Linked DNA regions of Sus scrofa. The protein of the gene in region 3 interacts with the protein of the main gene of each other region in a pairwise test. Links are inferred from orthologs where the notes say so. Each region holds a gene or a part of one and is shown on either strand. Other genes may lie near its edges. The genes, in order: PATL1, PQBP1, GOLGA2, TFAP4, SCNM1, PRPF31 and MAGOH.

Region 1 (3,571 bases), on a different chromosome or scaffold from region 3:
CATCTCAACACTCATTAATTGGCAGGAGTGGAGAGTGTAGCAATAAATAACAAGGTTGATAATATGGCTGTAGTTCATCCTAGCAGTTCTACTTTTCAGTATATACCTGAGTATATTGTCAACATGGTTAAATATGAAAAACATAATGTTGAGTAAGAAGCAAGGAGCAGAATTGTGTCTCTAGTACCATTTATATAAAATAGAATAATACTGTATAATATTTAAAAGTAGAGATACAATAAAAGCATAAAAACATTTTGGATGCATACCAAAATCAGGATAGTGGTTCCTATAAGAAGGAAGGGGAGCTGGAAACCAGGATCCAGCGTGGTATAGACGGGCCTTCAACGTAACACTGTACTGCTAATACTACTTTTTAAAAATCTGAAACAAATTTGATCAAGTAAAATTTTTTTATTAAGTCTAAATGGTGAGTAAATAGATGCTTTTAATAATAGTGTTTGCTGATCTTTTATATGTTTGAAGTCTGTCATGATTTTCAGTAAGGTTTTTTGTTTGTTCCTTTGTTTTGGCTTTTCAGGGCTGCACCCACGACATGAAAATTCCCAGGCTAGGGGTCGAATCAGAACTTCAGCTGCTGGCCCATGCCACAGCCACACCAGATTCTTAACCCACTGAGCAGGGCCAGGGATCAAACCCACAACTTCATAGATACTAGTCAGGTCCATTACTGCTGAGCCACAATGAGATCCAACACAAGATTCTTTAACCCACTCTGCCAGGCTAGGGATAGAACCCAGGCCTCCTCAGCAGCTGGAGCCATTACAGTCAGTTTTTTTTTTTTTTTTTTTTTTTTTTTGTCTTTTTGCTATTTTCTTTGGGCTGCTCCCGAGGCACATGGAGGTTCCCAGGCTAGGGGTTGAATCGGAGCTGTAGCCGCTAGCCTACACCAGAGCCACAGCAACGCGGGATCCAAGCCGTGTCTGCAGCCTACACCACAGCTCACAGCAACGCCGGATCGTTAACCCACTGAGCAAGGGCAGGGACTGAACCCGCAGCCTCATGGTTCCTAGTTGGATCCGTAAACCACTGCGCCACTACGGGAACTCCTACAGTCAGATTTTTAACCCACTGTACCATAGCAGGAATTTCTCTTTTCCACTTCTCTTTTAACAGAAGTAAGGGAAATCTTTTTTTTAACTGGCCTGGTTTGTGTTATAAGGCATAATTCATGTATCCACTTGGAGTGAATGTGGCATGTATTTCTTTTTCAGTCAGCATCGCAGTCTCAATGGTGCAGGAGATAGAGGAAGTCACCGGAGCAGTCATCAAGATCACCTCCGAAAGGATCCATATGCCAATCTCATGTTACAGCGAGAGAAGGATTGGGTCTCCAAAATCCAGATGATGCAGCTGCAAAGCACTGACCCCTACCTGGATGATTTTTATTACCAGGTAAATTCTCTTGCCAGTTTTGAGGATAACAGTTTAGTCTCTTGCGCTGGTGAAGGCACTCATTTTAATATTGATAGAATTAATATTGATAGGATTTTTTTTTTTTGAGGTAGTCTTCAAGTAGGTAAGAAGTGACTGAGCAAATTCTGTCCTCTTTTCAAACTGGAGACTCACACTATTCACTAAAATGTTTGCATACACCCCTTTTGCTTCTTCCATGTAGAGGCTCTCAGACCAGTATTTTCAGATCTCTTTGGCATCAGCAATCTGGTTCCTTCGATTAAGAATATTGACAGAAAAAAAAAAAAAAAAAAAAAAAAGGATTCCCGTCGTGGCGCAGTGGTTAACGAATCCGACTAGGAACCATGAGGTTGCGGGTTCGGTCCCTGCCCTTGCTCAGTGGGTTAACGATCCGGCGTTGCCGTGAGCTGTGGTGTAGGTTGCAGATGCGGCTCAGATCCCTCATTGCTGTGCCTCTGGCGTAGGCCGGTGGCTACAGCTCCGATTCGACCCCTAGCCTGGGAACCTCCATATGCCGTGGGAGCAGCCCAAGAAATAGCAACAACAACAACAACAACAAAAAGACAAAAAAAAAAGAATATTGACAGTCTGACTTTAAAGATATTTCCATTGATGATTATTTTGAAAGCTCAGATTTTTTATCTTTTGTCTTTTTTTTGTTGTTGTTGTTGTTGTTGTTATTGTTATTGTTGCTATTTCTTGGGCCGCTCCCGCGGCATATGGAGGTTCCCAGGCTAGGGGTTGAATCGGAGCTGTAGCCACCAGCCTACGCCAGAGCCACAGCAATGCAGGATCCGATCCACGTCTGCAACCTACACCACAGCTCACAGCAACACTGGATCCTTAACCCACCGAGCAAGGCCAGGAATCGAACCCGCAACCTCATGGTTCCTAGTCGGATTCATTAACCACTGAGCCATGACGGGAACTCCAGATTTTTTAATAAAGTAAATTCATTGCAATCTAACAAAAACAAAAGATCAGTACATTTATAGAGTACAAGGTGGTGGTGCTGCCACTAGTATAAATTAATTATTTAGTGATAAAGAGCAGCCATATTCTGTGCTTGTTGCAACTAAAATCATATTCTCATGTGGTAGAATTACTTTGAAAAACTGGAGAAACTCTCAGCTGCTGAAGAAGTGCAAGGTGATGGCCCTAAAAAGGAGCGCACCAAGCTCATTACTCCTCAGGTGGCCAAGCTGGAGCATGCCTATAAGCCAGGTAAGGTCCCATCCTCATGCCCAAAATTGAAAAATGTGACATGGTGCTGGTAGGATAAAATAAAAATAATTGTGTAGGAAGTTCCTCTGTGGAGCAGAGGGTTCGTAATGATCCAGCTTTGCCGTAGCAGAAGCATAGGTCACAACCGTGGCACACATTTGATCCCTGGCCCAGGAACTTCCACATACCCCAGGTGCAACGCAAAAAAAGAGAGTTCCCTTGTGGCACAGTAGGTTAAGGATCCAGCATTGTCACTGCAGGGGCCCAAGTCACTGCTGTGGCATGGGTGTGGACAGACAACTGTAAATAACTGTATAGATGATTAGATAGAGATGTTTGAAACTGATTGACTTAGTACCGTTGTCCTTGGCAAATGCAGGGGTCAGTGTTAATCAAGCATGAAATGAATGGTTTGACAGATGGCCTTTCAGATCCTTTACTAAGAGTCCAAGACTTTTTCTTTTCTTTCTTTTTTTTTTTTTGCTGCGTGCATGGGTGGCATATGGAAGTTCCTGGGCCAGGGATCTAATCCAAGATGCATCTGTGACCTATACCACAGCTATGGCAACGCTGGATCTTTAACCTCCTGCGCTGGCCAGGGGCTCGAACAGCACTTCCATAGAGACAAGCCCACTGCACCGTGGGGGGATCTCCCAGAGTCCATGACTTTTAAACCTGTGATAATTTCTAGTATTTGTAAAATAGATAAGGGGGACGTACTTAGGATTTTTGTCATGTTTTCTTTCTTTTGTCTTTGTAGGGACGTGCCTGCGGCACATGGAAGTTTCTGGGCCAAGGGTCATCTGCCAGCCTACGCCACAACCACAGCAATGCAACGACAGGTCTGAGCCTTGTCTGTAACCTATGCCACAGCTCATGGCAACACCAGATCCTTAACCCACTGAGCAAG
Region 2 (4,073 bases), on a different chromosome or scaffold from region 3:
CACGAGGGAGGAAAAACCTAGCTGCAGACCGTGGGGACGATCCGACACCCCCTCCTTGCCCACAGTGGGCTCACCCAAGCCCCGCCTCCATTCACCAAAGGGACCTGGGAAAAACCACGCGCGGTAACCCTGGGGATTTCCGCCTAGCAACACACCACCCCCCGGCTGGAATGGATTCGACCAACGTGTCTCTTTCCGTTAACAAGAGGGACCGGGGACAAGAGTCAAGGGAAACGTGGAGTGGTTCGTCCTGCACCGCACCAGCTCCTTCAAGCACACAGTTGTGGCCCCTCTTAACGGAGCCCAAGTAAGGAAACAAGTGGACGGGAGCGGAAGGAGACAACAAACGTTTAAAAGTCTCCCGAGTCTGGGACGTGGCGCTGTGTAGCCAGCGCCTCCCCCGCCCGCCTCCCACCGCTGGCCGTGGCGCCGCAGCAAGAGTCCCGAGGCCTGTGCCCCTCGCCGTACCAAGGCTCCCGAGCGTACTCCTCCATGGCGCCGGCGTCCGGCCGCGCAGTCTGGCTAAATCCCGGCCGGGCCACACCCCCACTGTAAACGCACACAGGCGCCCGAGCTTTCCACCTATTCCAAGGTAATGATTGGGTCCTTTCGCCAGACGTCAGGCCAAGGCGCACTCTCATTGGCCAGTTAGGTTTCCGTCATCTGTTCTCTGCAGCCCGAGCGTCGCCCAGTTACCTCTGGCTCAGGGAGAGAGGGCCTCATTCTTTCCCTCAGGAGAAAAAGAGTCGTGGTCCTGGCGATCATAAAGGCGTCGAGAGAGAGGCCGACAGTCTGACAGCCTTCCGCAACCCGCGTGACTGTATTGGTAATGTCGGGGTGGGCGCATTTTTTGGAGCTAGAGGAAACCCTGCTCCCCCCACCCCTGCTCCTTGGTTCCTTCCACCCGGCAGTCTTTGGGGGACGTTGGGTGAGCCCATTTCTGGGGCGCGGGGGAGCGGCGCTTGGCCCCTTCGGCGATGGGTGGAGCCTAGGCCTGGGAGAGGAGGCCTGGGAGAGGAGTCCTGTCCCGGAGCACCCCGCCTGGAGAGGAGAGTTGGCGAGAATTTCGGTGATACTGCCGTTTATCCCTTCCACCTTTTAGCGGGTAGGTTCTGTTGCCCAGCTCCTGGTGCAGGTGGGTAGGTGGGAGTCTAGATGAGTGCATGTTGGGGAGAGGCGCTTGCTTACGAGCTCCAGATTCAAATCCTTATCTGAACTGCTTTCTCGTCTGTCCTTCCCTAGGTCTGTCTGCTACCCGCTATGCCGCTGCCCGTTGCGTTGCAGACCCGCTTGGCCAAGAGAGGCATCCTCAAACATCTCGAGCCCGGTGAGAGAGCTAAGAGCAGATGGGCCTACCATGTGCCAGGCTTGACAGGCACTTTGTTGTTGATATTGCCACTCGATCCCTAGTATGGGCCTACTATATACCAAGCAGTGGGCTGGCAGACATTTTGTTGTAAACAATACGTATTCCTGACGCCGATTCCTACCGCGTGCGCGCGGACGCCTACGGTGGGGGTGGGGCAGGGAATAGACATTTCAGCTTTAGTCGTACCTAATACTGACAGCTGATGCTTATCTTGGATCTTCATACGCCAGATTTAATCCAATCGATCCCTGGAAGAGTATCTAAGGATATTAATAGTAAACTGACATCTATTACAGCCTCTTTTGGACCAAATACAGTGGGAGGAGGCTGATATTTTGTTCTTTACCATACTAGTAGGTAACATTTTTTTCAGATCTACTGTAGAGCCAGGTACTGTTCAGGCGATATATACCGACTTGTTCACCAGTTCAATAACTGACATGTATTTCGGGTCTGCTTAAGTGGCTGGCATATGCATTATGGTTTACAGTATGTAAAATAATGGTAGGGGAGTTCCTGTCGTGGCGCAGTGGTTAACGAGTCCGACTAGGAACCATGAGGTTGCGGGTTCGATCCCTGGCCTTGCTCAGTGGATTAAGGATCCAGCGTTGCCGTGAGCTGTGGTGTAGGTCGCAGACGCGGCTCGGATCTGGCGTTGCTGTGGCTCTGGCGTAGGCTGGCAGCTCAGCTCCGATTGGACCCTTAGCCTGGGAACTTCCATATGCCGCGGGAGCGGCCCAAGAAAAGGCAAAAAAACAAAAAACAAAACAAGGATAATGATAGGATCTGTCATTTTGGCCTGCTGTGCTGCCGTTGCCAGTATTTATACCTTACTGTCATTACAGTAAAAGTTGGCATCTATTTTGGGCTAAGGTGTGGCCGTGTACTGGAAAACTCATTTTCACTTTATTGACAGGTGACATCTATTACAGGTTTGTTGTGTGCCAAGCATAGATCTTTGGTTAATAATACGGATAATGGTCATTGATATTTATTTTAAGCTTACTGAATACCGGGCCTTGTGCCCGTGGTACGTTTCTTACTAACAACACTAATGATTATAGCTGATGATCTATTTTGGACCTATTGTGTGACAGGCACTATGTTATTGCTGAAATAGACATTTCATTGTTAGCTGTATACACAGTTGAAACCTGTGATCGGCCAACTGAGGTCCAGGTACTCATGTACCTTTTTTAAAATGTTTGGTCTTTTTATGGCCACACCCACGGCATATGAAAGTTCCCGGGCTAGGGGTCGAATCAGATCTGTAGCCGCTGGCCTATGCCACAGCCACAGCAATGCCAGATCCGAGCTGCATCTGTGACTTACACCACAGCTCACAGCAGTGCCAGATTCTTAACCCACTGAGCAGGGCCAGGGATCAAACCTTCGTCCTCGTGGATGCTAGTCGGGTTCGTTATTGCTGAGCCACAATGGGAACCCCCACTCATACACCTTTTTTATTCTGTTGATAGTAACTGAAAACAGTTGCAGGTCTCAGGAGCTGAATATATTCAGAGCAGTGTTTGGATAAATGCCTTGCTCTCCAAACTTGCTACTCAATATACTAGAATCAGAAACTCCCTATTTGCCAAGCTGGAGAACTGAATGAATTTGGACGTTTTTAGATAAAACCTTTGCTGTTCAAACTAATTTTGTCCAAATAGGTTTGGATAGCGGGGAGTTTCCGTCATGGCTCAGTAGTTAACAAACCTAGTTAGTATCTATGAGGACGCGGGTTCAACCCCTGGCCTCACTCAGTGGGTTAAGGATCTGGCATTGCCATGAGCTTCAGTGTAGGTCTCAGGTGGGGCTTGGATCCTGTGTCGCTGTGGCTGTGGCCTGGAGTGGCAACTACAGCTCCAATTTGACCCCTAGCCTGGGAACCTCCACATGCCACAGGTGTGGCCTTAAAAAGACAAAACGATACATAAAAATAGATTTGGGGAGTTCCCGTCATGGCGCAGTGGTTAACGAATCCGACTAGGAACCATGAGGTTGCGGGTTCCGTCCCTGCCCTTGCTCAGTGGGTTAACGATCCGGCGTTGCCGTGAGCTGTGGTGTAGGTTGCAGACGCGGCTCGGATCCCGCGTTGCTGTGGCTCTGGCGTAGGCCGGTGGCTAGCTATGGCTCTGATTGGACCCCTAGCCTGGGAACCTCCATATGCCGCGGGAGCGGCCCAAGAAATAGCAAAAAGACCAAAAAAAAAAAAAAAAAAAAAAAAGATTTGGATAGCAGGGTGTCACATACTGTCTGAACACAGGAACTAAACAAACATGGATACACGTTTTTTATTTAATTTTTATTTTTTTTAGGGCCACACCTGAAGCATATGGGGGTTCCCAGGCTAGGGGTCTAATCAGAGCTACAGCTGCCAGCCTACACCACAGCCACAGCAACGCCAGATCCAAGTGGCATCTGGGACCTACACCACACACAGCTCAGGGCAATGCCAGCTCCTTAACCACTGAGCGAGGCCAGGGATCGAACCTGCAACCTCATGGTTCCTAGTTGGATTCATTTCCTTGCGCCACAACAGGAACTCCGGATACACTTTTTTGTTTTTTTTGCTTTTTAGGGCCGTACCCGCGGCGTGTGGAGGTTCCCAGGCTAGGGGTCGAATCAGAGCTACAGCTGCCGGCCTACGCCACAGCCACAGCAACGCCAGATCCGAGGCATGTCTGTGACCTACACCACAGCT
Region 3 (3,571 bases):
CGAGAGAGGGAAGGAAAAGGTGGCAGAAAGGAACCGAGGCAGAGATTCCCAAGGCGGAGGGAAGGTCCTGGGAGCGGCCAGCTTGGCTGGACGATGTTTAGCTAATCATTACTTCCCTGAGTCTCCTCTTTGTAGCTGTACAGATGAAGGGGTTGGACCATGAGACTGGTTCCACCGTTCTGTCCTGCTGATGGGAGCTGCTTGGGAGGGAGGGACACAGAGAAGCTGGCACAGAGGGCTTGAGCAGGGGGAAGGGGACCAGCTTAGGCAGAAAAGGAAATGCTGCCAGTCGATGGGCAAGACAGGATGTCGGAGGGCTTAGGCCTCGAGGGGGACGGAGAACGTCTCCATGTGAGCCCTCTCATCTCTTCTAGTCTTCACCTTATATCAATGGGGAGGGCCTAGCATCTCCTGCTAACATAAAGAAGCTGGAGGTAAGTGGGCCTGGACCGTGGCCCCGTGACCCTGCAGGTCAGCCACCTCCCGCCCCCCCCCTCCTCCCACAGCGGGGGCTAGGTTCCCCACTGCCAGCTGAGACAGCTCAGACACCCCCCGACCCTAATGATTGCTCTCTCTACCTCTCCCCCCACCCTCCTCCAACTCCTCCTCCTCTCTGCATGCGCCTCAGAGCCGGTACCACGAACTATCACTAGCCCTGGACTCCAGCAATCTAACAAACAAACAACTCAGTAGCAAGATAGAGGAATTGGTAAGAGTCCAGTGTTGTCCCCGATTCCACGCTGCCAATCTGGGGCTCCAGTTCCACCTTGGGGCTCCGAAGAAAGGGGCTGGGGGCCCCTGGTACCGAGGGAGAATGGGGTGCCGGGGGCCCAGGTTGCAGTGAGAGGGACCCGGGAGTGCGGCATGCAGCATGGCTCTCTCTGTGGCTGCCCTCTTTGCCTCCTCTGTTCTCCAGACGCCCCTGCTGAGTCCTCCCCCCCCTTGCCCTGGGCCTGGTGCCTCTGTGGGTAACACTAGCTTGACAAGGGTGTCCCAGCCCCGGCTTCAGCCCCTGATTCGCTCCAACTTTGACCTTGGACAAGTCACCTGTCCTCCCTGGGCTTTAGGAGGTAGAATTAGAGGGCGTCCAAGGTCCCTTTGAGCTGGAAAAAAAAGAAAAAAAAAAATCAAAGATTTGAAGGTCCTTCTCATTCCTATATCCTTGCTGGTAAGAACACCCCAGCCCGTGGTATGTGCGTGTTGAGCGGATGCAGCCTCCCAGACTGCGAGCTGGCGGAGGATGTGGTCGCTCCCTTCTCACACTCCAGCTCGAGAGGCTTATGTCCTTGTCCTCGCAAGGGAATCAGGTTCAGACCCTTGGCTTCTGTAGCTGTGAGCCCCACCTCCCAAGACCCAGAGTCTCTTGGCTGAGAAGCGATGGCCCCTTCGTGTCCCCAGCAGCTCCTCCTTTGAAGCCCACCCCCGGCCCCTGCTCAGCCCTCCTCCTTGGTCTGAGGATTGTGGGAAAGGGGGCCGACCTCAGTCTCCTCCCTTTGCTTCTTCCCCACAGAAACAAGAGAACCAGGAAACTCTGGATCAACTGGAAAAAGTAACGTGATTTCTGTGTCTGTCCCCCTCACGGCTGGTGGCTTCGGGGGAGGGTTGAGACGTAGAGGCCCGTTCTCCTCGCGCCTGATCGCAGCCCGGAGAAATGGGGGGCTCCCTGGCCCTCGCCACCCCTCCCTCACCCCCGATTATATGTTCTCATTGGTGAGACTGTCCTGGGCCAGTGGTGGCTTTCTGGGGGGCACCTCCTCCAGGTGAGAGCTGTTTCTCCTCTCTTCCCGCAGGAAAAAAAGGAATTTGAGCAGAAGCTTGCGAAGGAACAAGGGGCTCTGAGAGAACAACTGCAGGTGAGTGGATCCTGCCGGGTTCCCTCGCGGCCTCCGGGAAACGTGACTTTGCTGCTTCTCAAGCCCCCCTTTCGGCCTTTGTCCCACAGGTCCACATCCAGACCATCGGGATTCTAGTGTCTGAGAAGACGGAACTGCAGACCGCCCTGGCTCACACCCAGCAGGCAGCCCGGCAAAAAGCAGGTGGGAACCTGGGTGCCCTGTGACCCCCTGGGCCGGGCACGCTGGCCGGCCTGGAGCGGGAGTCCTTCCTCGGGCTTCACCTCTCACGCCGTCCTTTCAGGAGAGTCGGAGAATCTGGCTAGTCGCCTGCAGTCTTCCAGGCAGCGCGTGGGCGAGCTGGAGCGGACGCTGTCTGCCGTGTCCACGCAGCAGAAGCAGGCCGATAGGGTGAGCCCGGCAGCCTAGCCCTCCCCGGACGTGTAGTGGAGGGCGAGTGAGCCCAGAGGTCCCTTCCACAGGATGGGGTGACTTGCTGCCCAGAAGGCGGCACTGGCCACTTCCCGCTGCTCTAAACTCGTGTGCTTGATAGAAGCAACCCAGGCATGAGTTGGTTGCCATGGGCCAGTTGCCCGTGTGTGTGTGGTGTGTGTGTGTGTGTGTGTGTGTGGGCGTGCACGCAAGTGCAGTCACAGTGGAGGTGCTGTCTAGTGTGAGCCCTGGATGCAGAGCTCAGAGTCCGAGTGCCAGCCCTGCCCTTGCCTGGCTGTGGGCCCTGGCCCCCATGCTAGGTATTTGGACTGTGAAGGTCCATGACGGTATTTTTAGTACGTTGCCAAACTAAAGAGGGGAGACGCACGCGTGTGTGATGTATTCAGACATGTGGGGAGGGATTCACAGCAACCTGGTGGGGAGGAACAGGGTGGCTGAGAGACTTGTCACTTCTGAACCTTCTGAGTTTGGGGCTCTGCAGAGGTACCATCCACTCAAACCATGAACACAAGCTCACAATACAGTTCAATCCCCCTCATAATGCACCCCCCCACCCCAGGGAGAAAACGTGGTTAAAGAATCAGACAGACCTGGGAGGTCCCGTTGTGGTTCAGCGGGTTAAGGACCCAACTGGTATCCATAAGGATGTGGGTTCGATCCCTGGCCTCGCTCAGTGGGTTAAGGATCCGGCATTGCTGCAAGCTGCAGCGTAGGTTGCAGATGCGGCTCGGACCTGGCTGTGGCTGTGGCGTAGGCTGGCAGCTGCAACTCTAATTTGACCCTAGCCTGGGAACTTCCACATGCCACGAGTGTGGCCCTAAAAAGGAACAAAGGAATCCAACAGACCTGGAAGCTTGGTCCCAGCTCTGGGTGATTTTGGGGGAGCCACTTGCTCTCTGCTACTCCGTGCTGGGCACCTGTATGATGGAGGCAGTAATAGTAACCGCCTCCCACGGTGATTATGAGGCTGAAAGGGGAAAGTGCTGGAAAAGGTTCAGACCTGGTGACGGTAACGGTGATAGAGCTGGTGGTATTACCTGCCGGCCCCGGGCCTGGGAGCCAGCCAGCCGGGAGTTAGACCCTCCACCCACCTCTTCCACTCTTCCCGAGTTCCTGTTAAAACTGAATGCGAACGTGAACTTGGGAAGGGCTTTGGAAACATGTAAAGTGTGACACCAGGTGAGGACACGTTGCTGAGAGTTACTGTTGCTGCCGTTAGTCTGTTTTCCTGACCTCAGCCTTCCGCCTTTGCAGTACAACAAGGAATTAACCAAAGAGCGAGACAC
Region 4 (4,058 bases), on a different chromosome or scaffold from region 3:
TCATTCATTCACTCAGGCACTGTGGACAGTGATCAGGGCATACAGTTGGGTGGCTCTGTATCCTATGTTGTCCCCACATGCCATCCTTCCTGTCCACACAGGGAAGCCCCCCGGGGACTGTGGTGTTACATGGTCCAGGATCTGTACTTACAGAAACAGCCCAGCAGCTGACTTTGAAGGATTGGAAACTATACCCGTAAAAGGGCTAGGCATCTGCAAGATACTCGGAATATCTAAGAACAATAACGGTTCCTACTAAAACCAGAAATCCTTGTCTTGAGTAGGAGTATTTCAATTAGAAGGCGCGATTTGGGCGGAACCTGGAAGGCGAATAGGTTTGAGGAAGGCGGTGGGCAGGAGGGAGGACATTCCAAGGCAGGCGCGGTCTTCCTGAGCCAGGGGCCAACCTCCAGGAGCCTGGGGAGGGGACGCAGGAAGGAGGGGGGGGCGGAAGCCAGCCGCCACGGTGTTCCCCACCCCCAGGCCTTCACCCCTAGTAGAGAGCGCACCCTGGCGGAGGAGCAGGTCCCGCACGGGCTTCGCCACGAATGGGAAGCTGCAGCCTTCCGCCTACCGCGGCCAAGCTGGGGCGAGGCTCGGGCCGTCCAGCCTCCCCGCAGAGGGGTGAGAGGTGGAGACCCCGCAGCAGCCACCGGACCTCCCGGCCGCGCTGGCAGCCTGCCTCCGGGGCCGCTGCCGTCCTGGCCCGCCTCCCTTCCCTCCCCGCCAGGGCCCCTGCTTCCTAAGGCAGCCCCAGGATCCCAGGCGCCCGGCGCGCCCCCCTTTGCCCTCCCTTCCTTGGCTCCGGGATTCCCAAGCTCCGGAGCCCAGGCCAGACGGCCAGCAGCGGGCAGCTGGGCAGGGAGGGAGTGAGGGAGGGGGCTGGCCGGCCTCTGAAGTCGGCCCCAAGTTACATGTGGGAAGCGGTAGCTGTGACGCAAGTTTCCAGGGGGCCCTGGGCTCGGAGGGAGCGCGCCAGAGCGGCTCCTCTCCGTGCAGTTGCAACCGTGAAAAAAGCCCAGAGCAGCACCGCAGGCCACCTTCGCCTTTGCCGGGCCCAGCTGCGAGCCCCCGCACCCCGAGGGCGGCCAAGCGCGCAGGGTCTGCACCCGGCGGTCCCCGCCGGACCCCAGGCGTACAGGCTGGGCTCCCTCGCAGTGGCTGGTCTTTTTTTTTTTTTTTTTTTTTTTTTTTTTGCTACGCTTGCCAACCTGTCAGCTGATGGACCTCATCACCCATAGTGGCGCATGTAGCTCGGCCGCAGCTCGCTCCATTCACGCTGCGTCCCCCAGGAGGACCGGCGGCCCCCGCACCCCCAGCTGGGGGGTAAGGCCCTCAGACCCCGACCGCCACTCGGCCCTGGGGGCCAGCGCCCCTCTTGCCCCAGCCTCGCGCCGCCCTGGGGGCGCTGCAAATAGTCCTTTGTTTACATGCAATTCCTTACTCCGCGGAAGGAGGCCGGGGGAGTGCTGAGTTTTCACCAGCTGTTTCCCGCCTTGAAACAGACATCTGATCAGCTGCAAACACACACACACACACACACACACACACACACGCACATACACACGCCCGGGGAGGCAGGCCGGAGAGACCTCCCTCCCGCCCCTCCCGCCCGCCTCCCTCCCCTCGCCGCCGCCGCAGCCAGCATCTGGGACCGGCCGATTCTGCACCTCCGTCCGGCGCTGCCCTTTGATTCGGATTTCCATCTTGCATTCTCCGGCGGACCGCGGGACCTGGCTCGTGCAGAGGAGGGGGGCCGATCGCTATGGAGTATTTCATGGTGCCCACTCAGAAGGTGCCCTCTTTGCAACATTTCAGGAAAACAGAGAAAGAAGTGATAGGAGGGCTCTGTAGGTGTGTACTCCTCCTCCCCCTCACCCTCTTCCTATGATTGCAGCCCCTGGCCAGCCCGCTCCGGCGGGCGCGCGTGTGCGCACGCATGGCCCGCGCCGCGGACCCTCTCGCCTTTCTTAGCCGCCGGGGCGGCTGCAGTCCCGCGCGCCGGGCTCGGGCCTCCCAGGGACCCTCCTCTCTCGGAACGTGGGGGCCCCGAACGGCCCCGGTCACTTTTGTCCGCTGCAGGCGGGCGAGTCGCGACGTTTGTAAATTGCAAACAGACCCACGTGGTTCTGCAGCAGTCCCGGCCATGCTTGGTGCTGGTGGCTTTCCCCCCCGCGCTTCCTCCTCCCCCCTCCCGCGGTGGCTTCCTTCCTCTCCCTCCTTCATCACTCTCTCTGGGCGCCCCCCTCCAAGGGGTTCTGGGGGGGGCCTGGGGCGCGCGTGGGGCCGCGGCGCTGGCGGCTACAATGCAGCCACGCCGCGGCTCTGGGCGCGGGGGGGCGGGGAGCCGGTGGTGTGAGTGTTTGCAGGGAGCTGGGCTGCAGCGGGGTCTGGGGGCGTGCTGGAGTTCGAGGGTGTGAGGGGGGTGCGGAACCCGAGGGGCCGGCGCCGCCCGCCGGGAGCGCTGTGGACCCTGGCACGTTGGCGGCCGCCAGCTCGCTCGCCGCCCGCGCCCGGGCGCTGTTTACTAGCGAGGCCTGGACGTGACTCTGCAGCCCTCTTGGAGTAGGCGGACCTCCGCGCGCCGCCAGGCGGGAGCTGTAGTTCTGGGCTCCGCGTCCCTACGGCATTGTGGGAGTTGTAGGCGCGCCAGGGCCACGCTTTCCCCGCACAAAGCTTGGACCCCGCGGGCGGGCTGTTGGAGGCAGGTCCGGTCGGGGGGCTCTCCGGAGAGGGGGCAGCAGAGTCCGCTTTTAGCCTCACCAAGCCGCTGCCTGCAGCACGTGGGTCCCCACTGCAAACTTTCCTGTCTCACGCCCCTCCCCCAGCCATAAACCGAAAGCATCTGGTTGCCCAGCCCGCTACCCAGTTGGGTGGGTGGTCCGAGGTCCGTCGCCCTCCTCAGGAGCCACCTTCTAAGTTTTGCCCGGGATCCTCTGGATCTCCCCTTCCCCGGAGAGTGATGGGTTAGCGGACACTTGTTAAAATTCACATGCCCGCAATTCCGATCTCTAGAAGGGCCCGAACATCTGCAGGTTGAACACAACCGGCAGGATGGCGGCGCTGCATGGGGGTGTTCTCTGCGTGTCCAACTTTGGGACCTGTGGCCCCCTTTCCTGCTCTAGTAGCGAAATGGCTCCCCAGGGCTGGAGCCACGTGCTCTGCCGCCCCGGGGCGGGCAAGGCGGGGATTGAGAGAGGAGGAGCTCAGGGCGGTGTGGCCCAGGCTGGTGGACACCAGGGCCCGTCAAAACCTGTCTGCGGGAAGGTTGCTGCACACCGCCGCCCCCGTCCCAGGGCTCCCACCTTAACTACGCTCAGCAGAGGGGCTCTGAGTGTTGGCCCTTCTCCAAGGTCCAGCTGGAGAGCTTAGCTGTAATAAGGGAAAAGAAGAAAAAATTCGGGAGCTATTAATATGCTGTAGAGACTCCTTTGGGGAGATTTTTCTGAGTCCTTAGCATCTTCCCCCGAGTGAAGTGGCTTTATGGCTTCCTGTGCGGGATGAGGACACAGGTCTGGAAAGGAAGAGATAAGGCAGGTGCTGGGGCTGGAACTTGAACCTTGGTCCCAGAGCTGCTGGTTGCTCAGAGGAGGGTTGGCCAATGAGGAGATGGGTTGAGCTGCCTCAAATGCTGCAGAGGACATGCGGAGACTGATCCCAGGCAGGCTTGGCACCAGAGGACCATAGGCTGCCTGGTCTGGGCCTTGGCCGTGTCCTCCCTGGGCCCCCTAGAACTCTGGCTTGGCTCTGTTTCTGTTCCATGCCCCCCTTGGAGGAGTCCAGCAGACCCATAGGGGTCTCCAGAGTTGGGCCTGCCCAGCTGTGAGATTGTTGTCAGCCCATGCGTTGGGTGTGGGGCTGGGGCCTCTGGGTTTGTTCATTTTCTGGGAGCTGCTGGGTGAGGTAGGAAGCTTGTCACGGATCGGGTGTGAGTTGGGTGGGACCTTCTGGCCGGATATACTGGCTTCTCAGGCAGGTGGACTTTGCTCCATCCCTCGGTGACCAGCAGGGCTCCATGCCTCTGTCGCCCAGACCTGCCAGCGAGGACTGTACAGTAC
Region 5 (4,316 bases), on a different chromosome or scaffold from region 3:
GGGCTTTGGAGTTCCCTGGTGGCTCAGTGGGTTGAGGGTCTGGTGGCATCACTGCTGTGTCTCTGTTGTGGTGAGGGTTCAATACCTAGCCCAGGAACTTCCTGGCCAATCCCTGGCCAAAACAAAATAAAACAAAAGGGTATGGGCTTTGGAGTAAGATAGATTTGTTTGAATATTCACTCCAGCACTTACTAGTTATTTGACCTTGGTCAAATTGGTTAACCAATCTAAGTCTCAGTTTCTTCACCTATAAAAAGGGTATAATAATTGTATGCTTGATAGGGATGTGACGATCAGATGCGCTAATGGATGTAAAGTCTTTAGTATAGTGACTGGTATAATAAATAAGAGCTGCTCACCTCCACCGGGATATTGAGACAGGATTTGTCTCAACCAGACAGTGCAACACGAGATGGGACCCTTGTCAATTAATTTATCACAATTAACTAATTTAGACACAATTAGGAAAATTTCAGGTGAAGTTGCCCAGAGGGCCACTATATCCTCATGAGGAATAAATCTTTTCTGAGTGTCTGCGTCCCAATCCTGGAAGACTCACCGTCACCCCGTATTTGAGTGCTAGTCCAGCCAGGGTGTCTCCGGGCGCCAACTGATGCTCCAGGCGTCTTTCCCTCACCGGGGAGCAGGCAGACTGCACAAGGCTTCCATAAGAACGAGCCCGGCTCCCTTGAAGCAGTCCTGACCCCCCGAGGGGGGCCTGTCTAGAGGGAGAGGCCATCTCCTCACCCTGCGGACAACTGGAGTTGCAACTGCGGGAGGCCCGGCCAAGTGACCGATAGTGACAGGCCCGGGGTCTGGGAATGAAAATCTGGAGGATTCCTTTCCCTTTCTGTGTTCTCTCCTAAGTCTCTCCGCCTTCCCCCCACTAGGCGACCTCTGACTCCTGGCTTCCCCGCCTTCCAAGGCCTTTTCCCACAAACCTGTAACCTGACTGTTCAGTCCCTACCTGAGTTTCTCCTTAGTACCCCTCCGACTTTCGATCCCCCACAACTCGCGACATTGACCTCTGACCTTTGACCACTAGACACCCTCCTCTACACTACAGAGTTTGCCCCCAGGTCGGTCCGCCAGACCTCCCAGCCCCCAACCCCGATTCCGCGCGTCCCGGGCTTGGTCGCTAGGGTCGGGAACTAATCAGGCCCACTCCAGGTGGGCTGTGGCCTCAGGCGAAGGGCGTGATGACCGCGAGAATCTGTAGCACACTTTCCCCTGAGAGATCCTCAAAGGTACGCTCCGCATCAAATCAGTCACACTCTCAAACTCGGGATCCACAGCTAGGTTCCTCTTTCTCCAAACGCCTCTAATCTGCCAAGATGCAAGGGCCTGAATCGGGCAGGGCGGCAAGCTCTTTGAAAAAAGACTTCATTTCCCAAAAGGCTCCGCGCCGGCGGGGTCGCAGAGCACCATAGGAAATGCAGTCCCCTCTATGGGCTAGAGGCGGGTTTTCGGGATCGCGCGGCGCATGCGTGGAAGCGCATCCCGGAAGTAAGGGGGCCAACCGGAAAGAGACAGGAAAGAAAGGAGACGTCCCACTCTTGCTACGGTGGCCTGAAAGGAGTGGCGAACGCGGCGCGATAAAACTTATATTTCTGGGGCTCTCACAGTCGTGATGTCTTTCAAGAGGGAAGGGGACGATTGGAGTCAACTCAATGTGCTCAAAGTAAGCGCGAGAGGAGAGCATCTGGAGCAGCTTCAGTTGCCGTCTGAAGGCTGTGAGGGAGCTGTTTTGTTGCTGTGGCAACAACTCGGGGGAGGGGGGCGGAGGAAGCCAGACGATTGGAACTGGGCCGACACCCCTTCTTCAGCCCAGATCTCTACCCTTCTTGTGGCCTTTATTCCCTTTGAGTCCTCGTCCTTGTCATTTCCTTTTTGTTCCTCCCTCATATCCAGCTGACCCCGTCCTCATTTCTTCCCTTGTTCCCTGCAGAAACGGAGAGTCGGGGACCTGCTGGCGAGTTACATCCCAGAGGATGAGGCGTTGATGCTACGGGATGGACGGTGAGGACTAGGAGTGGATCAAGCCTGGGGGTTCTGCGGTTAGAGGCTCAACAAACTTTTGTTATTAAGCAGATTGGAAAGAACAAGGAATCTTTGGCGGGGAGTGAGTAACAGGGATGTTGGTGGTGGAGACTGGGAGACTTGGGATTTGGGCTTTGGAAAGGAGTTCTAGGCTGTGGTGGAACCTATGGCAGAGACTCCACTCCCCAGGAACCAATTATCTTCTCTCCTCCTCTCTAGCTTTGCTTGTGCCATCTGTCCTCACCGACCGGTACTGGACACCCTGGCCATGTTGACTGCCCACCGTGCAGGCAAGAAACATCTGTCCAGTAAGTTTGTGGGAAGACAGAGCATAGAGAATAAACCCTTAAAGGGTTTATTCACTCTGGGTGCCCTCCTTTTAATTCTCTTTCCCTTTCTCCTGAGGCCTGCAGCTTTTCTATGGCAAGAAGCACCCAGGAAAGGGCCTGGAGCCAAATCCAAGACAACAGAATGAATTGAGGAGAGAAGAGACCAAAGCAGAGGTAATCAGAGAGGGGAGGGTGTGTTCCAGGCTGCACACCTTAGGCTTGAAGGCTCTGGATTCTTTCTAGCTCTGAAGGTTCTGACTTTGTCTCCCATCTCCATGCCAGGCTCCTCTGTTAACCCAGACTCGACTTATTACCCAGAGTGCTCTGCACAGAGCTCCTCACTATAACAGTTGCTGCCGCCGAAAGAACAGGTCTGTGGGGTGGGTAATCCAGAAGTAGGGAGGAACAGGAGATCGATCGCTCTAAAGTACTGTTTTCCAAATTGGATTCTGAGGAATACTAGTGTTCTGGAAATGCTAACTTGAATTTCAGGAAAAAAGAATTTTGTTTGGGAAATAGGATTTTGTAATCCTGTTTGACGCATAGTAATATTACGAGTTCCCATCATGGCTCAGCGGTGAACAAACCCGACCAGCATCCATGAAGATGAGGGTTTGATCCCTGGCCTTGCTTGGTGGGTTAAGGATCCAGTGTTGCTGTGAGCTGTGGTGTAGGTTGCAGACACAGCTCGGATCCCATGTTACTGTGGCTGTGGTAAGGGCTGGCAGCTGTAGCTTGCATTCACCCCTAGCCTGGGAGCCTCCATATGCCACAGTGCAGCGCTAAAAAGACCAAAAAAAAGAATAGTAACAGTATATTTTCAGGGTTCTACACAGTCTTAAAAAAAAAAAAGCTGAAAAAACTAACTTAGGCTTTCCTTAAGTTCATTTGATTCCAAAATCCTTTTTATGCAGAACACCTGTTAATATCTTGAGGAATACAGTTTAGGAAGCACTGCTTTAAGGGGTTGGGAGTTACAGGAGATTTGGTCCTTTCCTTTACTGCTTTTACAGACTTTGATTCTTCTCTACCCAGACCAGAAGCCCCTCGTCCCTCTGTCTCTCGTTCCGCTTTTTCACCCCCAGAGGTTGAATCCCAAAGTGAGAGGATCAGTAGGGAACTTGAGCCTGCGGCTGCATCACAAACCAAGGAATCAGCCACTGTCTCATCCCCTGCACCTATGAGCCCCACAAGAAGACGGGCTCTGGATCATTATCTCACCCTTCGAAGGTGAGTGTACGGAATCACTTTCCTCAGATTGTCCCTTTTCTCTCTGGCTCTCCTTTTTTCAAACCTCAAATATTACTTATCCCTACTAGCTTTTGGGGGGGGCGGGAGGCCATGCCCACAGCATGCAGAAGTGTGCCACAGCAGTGACAATGCAGATCTATAAACTACCGAGCTACCAGGGAACTCCGCTACTAAATTCTTAACACATTTCCTTTCCTGATCGATTCTGTTTGTTCTGATATTTCCAGTTCTGGATGGATCCCAGATGGACAAGGTCGATGGATAAAAGATGAGAATGTTGAGTTTGATTCTGATGAAGAGGAACCCCCTGATCTCCCCTTGGACTGACACTCTTTCCCCATTCAGTTCACAAATAAACTATAGTGGGCGCTGGGAGCCTGACTTTCCTTGAGTCTGGTTCCTTGTCTCATTTCAGGATTTCAGGTCTGTTCGTTCTCAGCCTGGCCAATATTTCCCTGCAATGTACACAGCTCCCCATACTTCTAGCCCCTCCCCCCACTTCTACCAAAGTCATGCCAAGCGTCAGCTGCATGCAGCCCGGTGCCCTAAAATAAGTCTGTCAGAAGGAGGTCTTTGCCCTTCATGTTGTCTGACTTCTTCCCCACCTCCACTCAGAGTCTTTTCCTCCTTCAAATGACATGAAGTTTTTGGGTAGGCACTGGGTGGGGTGGGGGTGGGAGCTGGACAGGTCTGGAA
Region 6 (3,571 bases), on a different chromosome or scaffold from region 3:
CAAGCGGAGGGAGTATTTCTCGTCCTAGTGAGGTGGCAGAGTGAGGCTGTGCAGTGTCCTGCTCGTGAAGTGAGGGTGAGGAGGGTGGGCAGAGGAAGTTGAGACCGGAGACCCTCTGGGTCTGGGAGGTATTTCCTGGGCACCTGCTGTATGCCAGGCGCAGTTAGGAGCTGGAGAACAAAGCAAGTGAATGTCCCCGTTCTTGCGGAGCTTGCCGGCCAGCGGGGCCCGTCAAGGACCTGGGCCTTCTGGCGGGGGAGGCCCTCTCCGTGATGAGGGGGAACCGTGCTCTCCCAGCCCACAGGCCTTGGCATGTCGCTGGCGGACGAGCTCCTGGCTGACCTTGAGGAGGCGGCAGAGGAGGAGGAAGGGGGAAGCTATGGGGAGGAGGAGGAGGAGCCGGCAATCGAGGATGTGCAGGAGGAGACACAGCTGGATCTCTCCGGGGACTCGGTCAAGAGCATCGCCAAGCTGTGGGACAGCAAGATGGTGAGAGGAGCTCCCGGGAGGGCGGGGTGACACGGCCAGTAGCTGCTTCCCGGCAAGTCCTGGCTTCTGACCTTCCTCCTCCCTGAGCAGTTTGCTGAGATCATGCTGAAGATCGAGGAGTACATCAGCAAGCAGGCCGATGCCGCGGAAGGTAACCCCCCCGACAGCCCTCCCCGCTCTTCTCCAGCACCCCCCCACACACACTCTTCTCCAGCCAGGCCCCTCAGCCCTTTTGCTGCTCGTTGGCTCTCTCTCACCCGCTGCCAGAGCCCTCTTCCAGACGGACCCCTTCCCTCCCAGGAGTGCGTCGCATTATAAAGGCAGGTGACGCTTCTTCAGTACCTGCTCTGTGCTGAGCGCTGACGAATTGCAATAGGATTTAGCTCAAGGCTTCCCAGACTTTATGGACTCATAGGCTCAGTTACAAGGTTTTACTACATCTCTCATTATTTACTTTGTTATTTTTTAATTTTTTTTTTTTTTTTTTTTTTTTTTTTGTCTTTTTGCTATTTTCTTTGGGCCGCTCCCACGGCGTATGGAGGTTCCCAGGCTAGGGGTCCAATCGGAGCTGTAGCCACTGGCCTTTGCCAGAGCCACAGCAACGCAGGATCTGAGCCGCGTCTGCAACCTACACCACAGCTCACGGCAACGCCGGATCGTTAACCCACTAAGCAAGGGCAGGGATCGAACCCGCAACCTCATGGTTCCTAGTCGGATTCGTTAACCACTGCGCCACGACGGGAACTCCTATTTTTTAAATTTTTTTAAGTCAGCATACTTTTTTCTTTTTTCTTTTTTTTTTTTTTTAGGGCCCCACCCGTGGCATATGGAGGTTCCCAGGCTAGGGGTCCAATCGGAGCTACAGTCACCAGCCTACACCAGAGCCACAGCGATGCAGGATCTGAGCCGCATCTGCGACCTACACCACAGCTCACGGCAATGCTGGATCCTTCACCCACTGAGAAAGACCAGAGATCGAACCCACAACCTCATGGTTCCTAGTCAGATTCGTTTCCACTGCGCTTATGATGGGAACTCTGTCAACATACTTTTTTCTTTAAGTTTACCTGAGAGGGGGGGACAGCACTGCTGTGGATGGACAGCTGGTATCTTCTGGTAAATAGAAAGTGCCCACGAAAATGCAGAAAAGTAGCCCTAAAAACTATTAGAGCATCATGTAAAATCTCTCCTCGCTTCCGCTCGGGGCAGACGGGGTCGACTCCTGCGGGTTCAGCTCTGAGGACAGTCCTGTTTCCCGTCAAGCCGGGGCTCCAGTGGAAACCAAGGGAGGTTTTGGGCGCGGGCGCACTGGGTCAGAGCAGAGTCTCAGGGCGATTTGCACTCGTTGCCTCCCTCCTTTAGCTTGGGGCCTGGGTGGGCTCAGCCCTCCAAATGCACAGGAGCTGACAGCTACCGGCACAAGGTGCCTGCTGGGATGAGGGGCACTCAGGACACTTGGGAGCCGCCTCAGTCAGGGAGGACCTGGTGTCCGAACTGGGCTTTGAAGCATGAGTACGCAGGTCAGGCCAAAAACAGGGACGGGAGCCCAGGGAAAGAGCTGCTCGTGCAAAACCTCGGGCATCCCTGGTGGTTGAGAGGCCGAAGAAGCACCAGACGCTGCGGGGTTGGAGTGCCTGGCGGGGGGCTTCTCCGTCCAGAGAGCCGTGGAGCATCATTTCCTGGATTCGGTCAGATCCGATCCCACACTCAGCGACATGAAGCATCTCGAAACCGGGTGGCTCGTGACTTCTGGGTGTGGTGGGAGCACAGGGACATCTGACCCTCCTCGGGTGCCTTCTGAGTCTCAGGGCACAGAGGCCTTTGAGCGCCAGGGTCAAGAACGTGGACTCTGGGGTCAGACCCGAGCTCTGCCATCTGCTGGCTCTGTCCTGCTGTGTCTCCTCTAATTTAGCACCACCCTCCCTGGGTGGCTGTGGCTCAGTCAATGCCTAGAAGATGCTTAGAGCCTTGTCACCCACATTGCAAGTCTCTGTAAGTCTTGTGTCAACTGCCGCCCCTCCTGCCCCGATAAGCCCACCAGCACCATCGTTGGAATTGTTAAGGCTTGGGTAGTGTTCTACAGACAGATGCGAGGAGGGGCTGTACCAGGCAGGAGGGACAACATGTGCAAAGGCCTGGAGGAGAGGGAAGCAGCCCTGAGTGGTCCAGGCACTGTAGTCTGTCCTTAATGGCTGGGCTGGAAGAGTCCAGGGTGTGAGGAGAGGAGGCGGCGGGTAGGGTGCAGAGCCCAGACCGGAGTGAGGTGGCAGGTGCCCGTGGAGCAGCTCCAGTGTGGCCGGGCGCGGGGTGCGGCCGGGGGCAACAGCACAGCGCTTGTCCTCTCAGAGCTTCCAGTCTCGGGAGGCCTTGCACCTCTGGCTGGGGAGCTTGGCCGTTCGCCTCAGGGGTGTGGGAGCTCCCGGGGTTTTGTTCTAGGGCGAGATAGGGTCCCGTCTAGACTGGCCTGGGGGGAGAGATGAGAGGTTCACAGCCACACAAACCTGTCCCCTTGTTTCTGCCCTCACCCGCTCCTCCTGCTGCCCTCCAGCCCCACCCCCAATCTCCCGGCTGTGGGACCCGGCAGGGAGGTGGGGGCTCAGACACTTAGCTGTCCTGGGCTCTTTCCCGTCCTCACAGTGATGGGACCGGTGGAGGCGGCCCCCGAGTACCCGGTCATCGTGGACGCCAACAACCTGACAGTGGAAATCGAGAACGAGCTGAGTGAGTGCCGGGAAGGGCAAGCAGAGCCAGCCCCACGCCGTGTCCCCCATGGCCCCTTCCTGTCCCCAAGGGAGGGGTACGTGGGATCCCAGGGCCCTGCTCCCATGACCTCGAACCCAGGTTCAGCTGCTGTAACACTGGTCACGCGGGAGGGACGCGCATCTTCCTCTCATGTGAAGGCTGGGTGGAGGCCAGGCTCTCTCTGTCTGGTTGATCTGCTGCCTATTTCCTGGCACCAGGTGACTGTCCGCCTCCTGCTGTCGCCTCCCATCCCCGCCAGCAGAGCAGGAAGGGAGGGCTCGCTCTCTTTGCGGGAGTGGCTGGAAGTTGCACATGTGGCATGAGCTCACATCTTGTGGAC
Region 7 (4,129 bases), on a different chromosome or scaffold from region 3:
AATACCTGTACAAACCATGTGTTTTAAAATAGCATTTTGTTCTCTTCAGGCTGTTGTTGATGTGGGGTAAAGTACTGGTTTGTAAACTCCATCACATTGTACCCAGACAAAATTTTCCTTGTTTGTATCCACCCCAGCACCCCTCAAGGACCACATTTGACTGTATTTGATGTAACAGGCATGTTAGAATGTGGGGTCCCCCTAACCATTTCTGCTTTTTGTCTTGTCCTTCCAAGTTCCGTTAGCTTCTGTACTCGGTCCCCTTTGGAGTCTGGTTTCTCTTCCAGAGGCAAAGGGTGATGTGCTGCATCTCACTAGTTGACTTACATCATCTTGATGAACTAAAAACCAAATGTGGACGTTTGTAAAATAAATGCACTCTTTCTAGAGATTAAATTCATTTTTTAAAATCTGGAAGTACTGTTTCATTGTGATGCTTCAATGAGGGGGGTGTGGAGGATCAATATTATTGTTTGAATTTTAGAGATGAGGAAACGGGTGAAGGAACTGCCCAAAGTTGACACTTATGTTTTAGTGCCCCCCAAAGTACGTGTCGCACATGCAGTGCTCATGCGCATGTGGCGTTCTCTGCCTACATTTTCCTTCTCTGCCTCCTCTGGCTAATTCCTATTTGTCCTTGAGTATTCCACTTCCGAAGCCTTCTCTATTCTCCCTGACTCAGACCTGACTCATAAGATATGGTAACCATCTGTGTTTCCACAACAAATTTCGCCTACCTGTATCCCAGTATTTCCACTCTGCCTCTCACTCCCATGCCAGTGAGGCTGCTTTTACCAAGGTCACCCAGGACCTTCTTAATTATAAACCTTGCAGATATTTTCAGTCCTTATATTCCTTGACCTGGAAGCAGTATGTAACACTGTTGGCATTCCGTTCTTGAAATACTCTTATTTTGGCTTACAGGATGCTATACACCTGGTTTCCCCCCTACCGCTCTAGCTACGTCTTGTTCTCTTTTGCCTATGAATTTCATACTTCTGATCTTCTCATTTTCCAATCCAGTCTACAATATTGAAGCCAGAGTTGTTTTTCTAGAATGCTATATAGGTCATTTCACCACCACCCTTTGGATGACTGGGGAATGGGCGATTAAATAGTTAACTCCTACTCAAAGCATCTCTTCTAAAGACCAGAGAGGTAGAAAAGCAAAGGAAGAAATAAAAGCTTGAAAGAGATAAGTGCAGGCGAGTTTGTTACAGGGAAATGGCAAGCTCCACTGTGGATTCAGGGAAAGCGTCACGGAGAAAGGTTTCTTGAACTGGTCCTTAAACAGCAGGGTTCAGTTGAGCCAACGTTAGACACATGCAGCGTAGTGCGGGGCGTTCTATGAGTTTTGGGTCCTATAACCCTATTTTACTGTTGGCCCAGAGAGAGTAAAGGGCTTTGTCCCACTCACACAGACAGGTGTCCTGAAGGAAGGTGGAGGTTCAGAGGACGCAGGACTTGGAGTGTAAGCCCTTGGTCTTAAAACGCGGACTCCAGACCACGTTCGTCCTCCTACCAAGCTCTAGAACCCCTTGGACCGCAGGCCCAGAAGGACGCAGGCTTACAAACCTCAACCTCCCTCCCTCCCCGGCTGAGGGGGCGGGGCTACACCAATCCCGCCTCCGTGGGGAAGGGCTTCGTTCCGCCAGGAGGGGCGGAGCCTACTTGGCCCGCGGGTCGGGAGGGGTCGCTCTACGCCCGGAGGCGGAGTTGTCTGGCGTCACTTCCGCGCGCCGTTGTCTACGTCAGTGTCGGGCGCCTACGGCAGAGGTGCGGTTTGCTCTTAAAGTTCGGTCTCGGATACCTTTTGCGAGCCATGGAAAGTGACTTCTATCTGCGTTACTACGTGGGTCACAAGGGCAAATTCGGCCACGAATTCCTGGAGTTTGAGTTTCGACCCGACGGTGAGAAAAGCGTCCGGCCTGACGGGAGCGAGGTGTAGGCCTGGGGACGGGCGAGTGGGAGGAGTGTGCGAGGAACTGGAGGAGGAAGAGACTGATGGCTGTGAGGCGCCGATTTGGAAGGAACGATACTGTGTCTTCCCCACTGGTTCTTTTCGTGTTCAGAATCTTCTGTTTAGTGACATTTCTGACCACAATGATTCATTCAGTAAACGTTCCTTGAGCGCCTACCTTGTGCCAGGCTCTGTTCCACCATCTGGGATACAAGAGTGAACACTTCCCGTCTCATGGAACTTAGATTCCCGTGCTGGGAGATCTGTAAACAACAAACAAACAAAAAGCAACAAAAAAAGAAGATTCCAGATAGTGATGAGTGGTCAGAAAACAAAGTGATGGTATAATTGCTGGTGGACTGCATTTAGAAAGGGTGGCCATAGGCGAACTCTCTGAAGAGCAGATATATGAACTGAGTTCTGATTGACAAGAAGGAGCCAGCCTTGTGACTCTCAGGTAGAAGAGCATTCTAGGCAGAGGGAGAAACAAGTATCAAGGCCATAAGGCAGGGATGAACTAAACATGTTTCAGGTGGCCAGTGTGGCTGAAGAGTAGTGAGCTCTGGAGAGAATAGTAAGTAGCCTGATAAACAGGCAAGGGTCACACCATATAGTCTTTATAGGGTGTGGTAGAGTTGGGATTTTTGTTCTAAGTGCAGCAGGAAGCAATTTGAAAGTTTTAAGCAGAGGAGAGATGTAATATGTTCTTGAAAAAGTTTTGTAGTTATTAGGTGCAGAATGGGTAAGAATGAAAACTACTTAATAGGAGGCAGAATTGTTAAGACGGAAGGGATGTTGGTTGGGACTAGAGTGATAGTGATGGCATACTGTTGATGGCACAACCAGTAGGACTTTGCCAAGTGATAGATTTGGGGAGGCGCCAGTACAGTGAAAGAAAAGGAATCAAAGATGACAGAAAATTTATCCTAAATGGGGGCACAAAAATGAACTGACACGCCCCGGTTGTGAAGGAAATAGGTTTGTTAGCAAACAAAGACAAGACAGTGTAGTGGCTACTGGGGTAGAAAGACACAGAAAGGACCCTTGGAGCAGAAGGAAGGCACCTAACCCAGCCTGGAGGTCAGAGAAGACTTCTTGAATAAGATGACATGGGGAAGTGGAGGTTTGAGCCTTTAGTAATGTGAAGGAGTTAGGCAGAGAGTCAAGAAGGCATTTTCAGAAAGCATTAACAGCGAAGAGACCGAAACCCAAAAAGTGAATGGGGTGTTTCAGGCAGAAACCAAACACATTTGACCCTTGAACAACATGGGTTTGATTGCATGGGTCCACTTAATTTTTTTCAGTAGGAAAGACCTACATGATCCACAGTTGGTTGAGTCCAAGATGAGGAACCGTGGATACAGAGGAACTGCAGATGCAGAGGGCTGGCTCTGAGTTATACCAGTGTTCAACTACAGAGAGGCTGGGTGCCCTATGCCCAAGGTTGTTTATGGGTCAGCTGTAATTTGATTAACTCCAGCTATGTGCAAGAGGACTTTTGGAGGAGTGGCCCTGGAAGTGGGCTCAGCGTAGCAGTAACCCATGTTGAGGAATTTGGGTTTTATCAAGACGGCAGTGGGAAGTCATTGTTGGTATCAAAGTGTTAGAGTAACCTAATCAGATCTGTTAACTATCACTTTGTCCACTGTATGGAGAATGAATTGAAAGGAGAGGAACTTGAGGCAGAGAGACGGTACAGTGAGGCGTCAATTAGTGTGGCTCTTTTTAGTGTGCCTTCTGTTCTGTAGGGAAAAAATTATCTCCTTTATTTCCTTTTATCTTCTTCATATCCACCATATATACTCAGGTGAACCTGTTGGATGCACATATGACTTTTTATACCAAATATGCATAATAATATCACAGGAATAGATTATAGAGTGTTGCACAGTCACTTGTTTATATACGTAAAAAGCATTTTAACAGTTTTCAGAATGCTTTCACAACTCTTGAGCCTCAGGGGGCCCTGTCTGTAGGTAAGTTATCGGTTACTCCTGTTTTTCAGCTGAGGGCATTAATCTGCAGAGATGTGATTTGCCTGTCACAAAAGAGTCTGTTCTTTAATCACAACTGAGCTGCCTTTGGCAAGAATTATAATTCATTATCAGCTGTATTTTTTGCTGGGAGGCTATTTAATAGTGTTGATGGAAAAAAAAAAAAACTCAAAAG

The links.
Region 1: the proteins of GOLGA2 (region 3) and PATL1 interact in binary tests that used the Homo sapiens proteins (3 or more experiments, as listed by UniProt). The two-hybrid records come from large-scale screens. The link is inferred for Sus scrofa from reciprocal best matches to the Homo sapiens genes GOLGA2 and PATL1.
Region 2: the proteins of GOLGA2 (region 3) and PQBP1 interact in binary tests that used the Homo sapiens proteins (3 or more experiments, as listed by UniProt). The two-hybrid records come from large-scale screens. The link is inferred for Sus scrofa from reciprocal best matches to the Homo sapiens genes GOLGA2 and PQBP1.
Region 4: the proteins of GOLGA2 (region 3) and TFAP4 interact in binary tests that used the Homo sapiens proteins (3 or more experiments, as listed by UniProt). The two-hybrid records come from large-scale screens. The link is inferred for Sus scrofa from reciprocal best matches to the Homo sapiens genes GOLGA2 and TFAP4.
Region 5: the proteins of GOLGA2 (region 3) and SCNM1 interact in binary tests that used the Homo sapiens proteins (3 or more experiments, as listed by UniProt). The link is inferred for Sus scrofa from reciprocal best matches to the Homo sapiens genes GOLGA2 and SCNM1.
Region 6: the proteins of GOLGA2 (region 3) and PRPF31 interact in binary tests that used the Homo sapiens proteins (3 or more experiments, as listed by UniProt). The two-hybrid records come from large-scale screens. The link is inferred for Sus scrofa from reciprocal best matches to the Homo sapiens genes GOLGA2 and PRPF31.
Region 7: the proteins of GOLGA2 (region 3) and MAGOH interact in binary tests that used the Homo sapiens proteins (3 or more experiments, as listed by UniProt). The two-hybrid records come from large-scale screens. The link is inferred for Sus scrofa from reciprocal best matches to the Homo sapiens genes GOLGA2 and MAGOH.

What each region holds. Positions count from the first base shown.
Region 1 is NC_010444.4:11,841,534-11,845,104, forward strand, and holds part of PATL1 (protein PAT1 homolog 1), read left to right. Parts: intron 1-1,235; coding exon 1,236-1,416; intron 1,417-2,537; coding exon 2,538-2,661; intron 2,662-3,571. UniProt on the Homo sapiens protein: RNA-binding protein involved in deadenylation-dependent decapping of mRNAs, leading to the degradation of mRNAs. Acts as a scaffold protein that connects deadenylation and decapping machinery.
Region 2 is NC_010461.5:42,975,405-42,979,477, forward strand, and holds the start of PQBP1 (polyglutamine-binding protein 1), read left to right. Parts: upstream 1-1,241; 5' UTR 1,242-1,260; coding exon 1,261-1,327; intron 1,328-4,073. Other genes in the region: TIMM17B (mitochondrial import inner membrane translocase subunit Tim17-B), read right to left, coding at 469-641. UniProt on the Homo sapiens protein: Intrinsically disordered protein that acts as a scaffold, and which is involved in different processes, such as pre-mRNA splicing, transcription regulation, innate immunity and neuron development.
Region 3 is NC_010443.5:268,710,153-268,713,723, reverse strand, and holds part of GOLGA2 (golgin subfamily A member 2), read left to right. Parts: intron 1-374; coding exon 375-434; intron 435-628; coding exon 629-709; intron 710-1,510; coding exon 1,511-1,549; intron 1,550-1,790; coding exon 1,791-1,853; intron 1,854-1,942; coding exon 1,943-2,036; intron 2,037-2,136; coding exon 2,137-2,243; intron 2,244-3,539; coding exon 3,540-3,571. UniProt on the Homo sapiens protein: Peripheral membrane component of the cis-Golgi stack that acts as a membrane skeleton that maintains the structure of the Golgi apparatus, and as a vesicle thether that facilitates vesicle fusion to the Golgi membrane.
Region 4 is NC_010445.4:38,046,488-38,050,545, forward strand, and holds the start of TFAP4 (transcription factor AP-4), read left to right. Parts: upstream 1-1,208; 5' UTR 1,209-1,430; coding exon 1,431-1,795; coding exon of another isoform or gene 1,796-1,854; intron 1,855-2,364; exon of another isoform or gene 2,365-4,058.
Region 5 is NC_010446.5:98,079,570-98,083,885, reverse strand, and holds SCNM1 (sodium channel modifier 1), read left to right. Parts: upstream 1-1,511; 5' UTR 1,512-1,630; coding exon 1,631-1,681; intron 1,682-1,948; coding exon 1,949-2,019; intron 2,020-2,259; coding exon 2,260-2,348; intron 2,349-2,445; coding exon 2,446-2,543; intron 2,544-2,651; coding exon 2,652-2,740; intron 2,741-3,404; coding exon 3,405-3,599; intron 3,600-3,847; coding exon 3,848-3,947; 3' UTR 3,948-4,042; downstream 4,043-4,316. Other genes in the region: LYSMD1 (lysM and putative peptidoglycan-binding domain-containing protein 1), read right to left, coding at 560-739. UniProt on the Homo sapiens protein: As a component of the minor spliceosome, involved in the splicing of U12-type introns in pre-mRNAs. Plays a role in the regulation of primary cilia length and Hedgehog signaling.
Region 6 is NC_010448.4:56,004,958-56,008,528, reverse strand, and holds part of PRPF31 (U4/U6 small nuclear ribonucleoprotein Prp31), read left to right. Parts: intron 1-297; 5' UTR 298-312; coding exon 313-489; intron 490-579; coding exon 580-640; intron 641-3,126; coding exon 3,127-3,210; intron 3,211-3,571. UniProt on the Homo sapiens protein: Involved in pre-mRNA splicing as component of the spliceosome. Required for the assembly of the U4/U5/U6 tri-snRNP complex, one of the building blocks of the spliceosome.
Region 7 is NC_010448.4:158,986,847-158,990,975, forward strand, and holds the start of MAGOH (protein mago nashi homolog), read left to right. Parts: upstream 1-1,325; 5' UTR 1,326-1,822; coding exon 1,823-1,910; intron 1,911-4,129. UniProt on the Homo sapiens protein: Required for pre-mRNA splicing as component of the spliceosome. Plays a redundant role with MAGOHB as core component of the exon junction complex (EJC) and in the nonsense-mediated decay (NMD) pathway.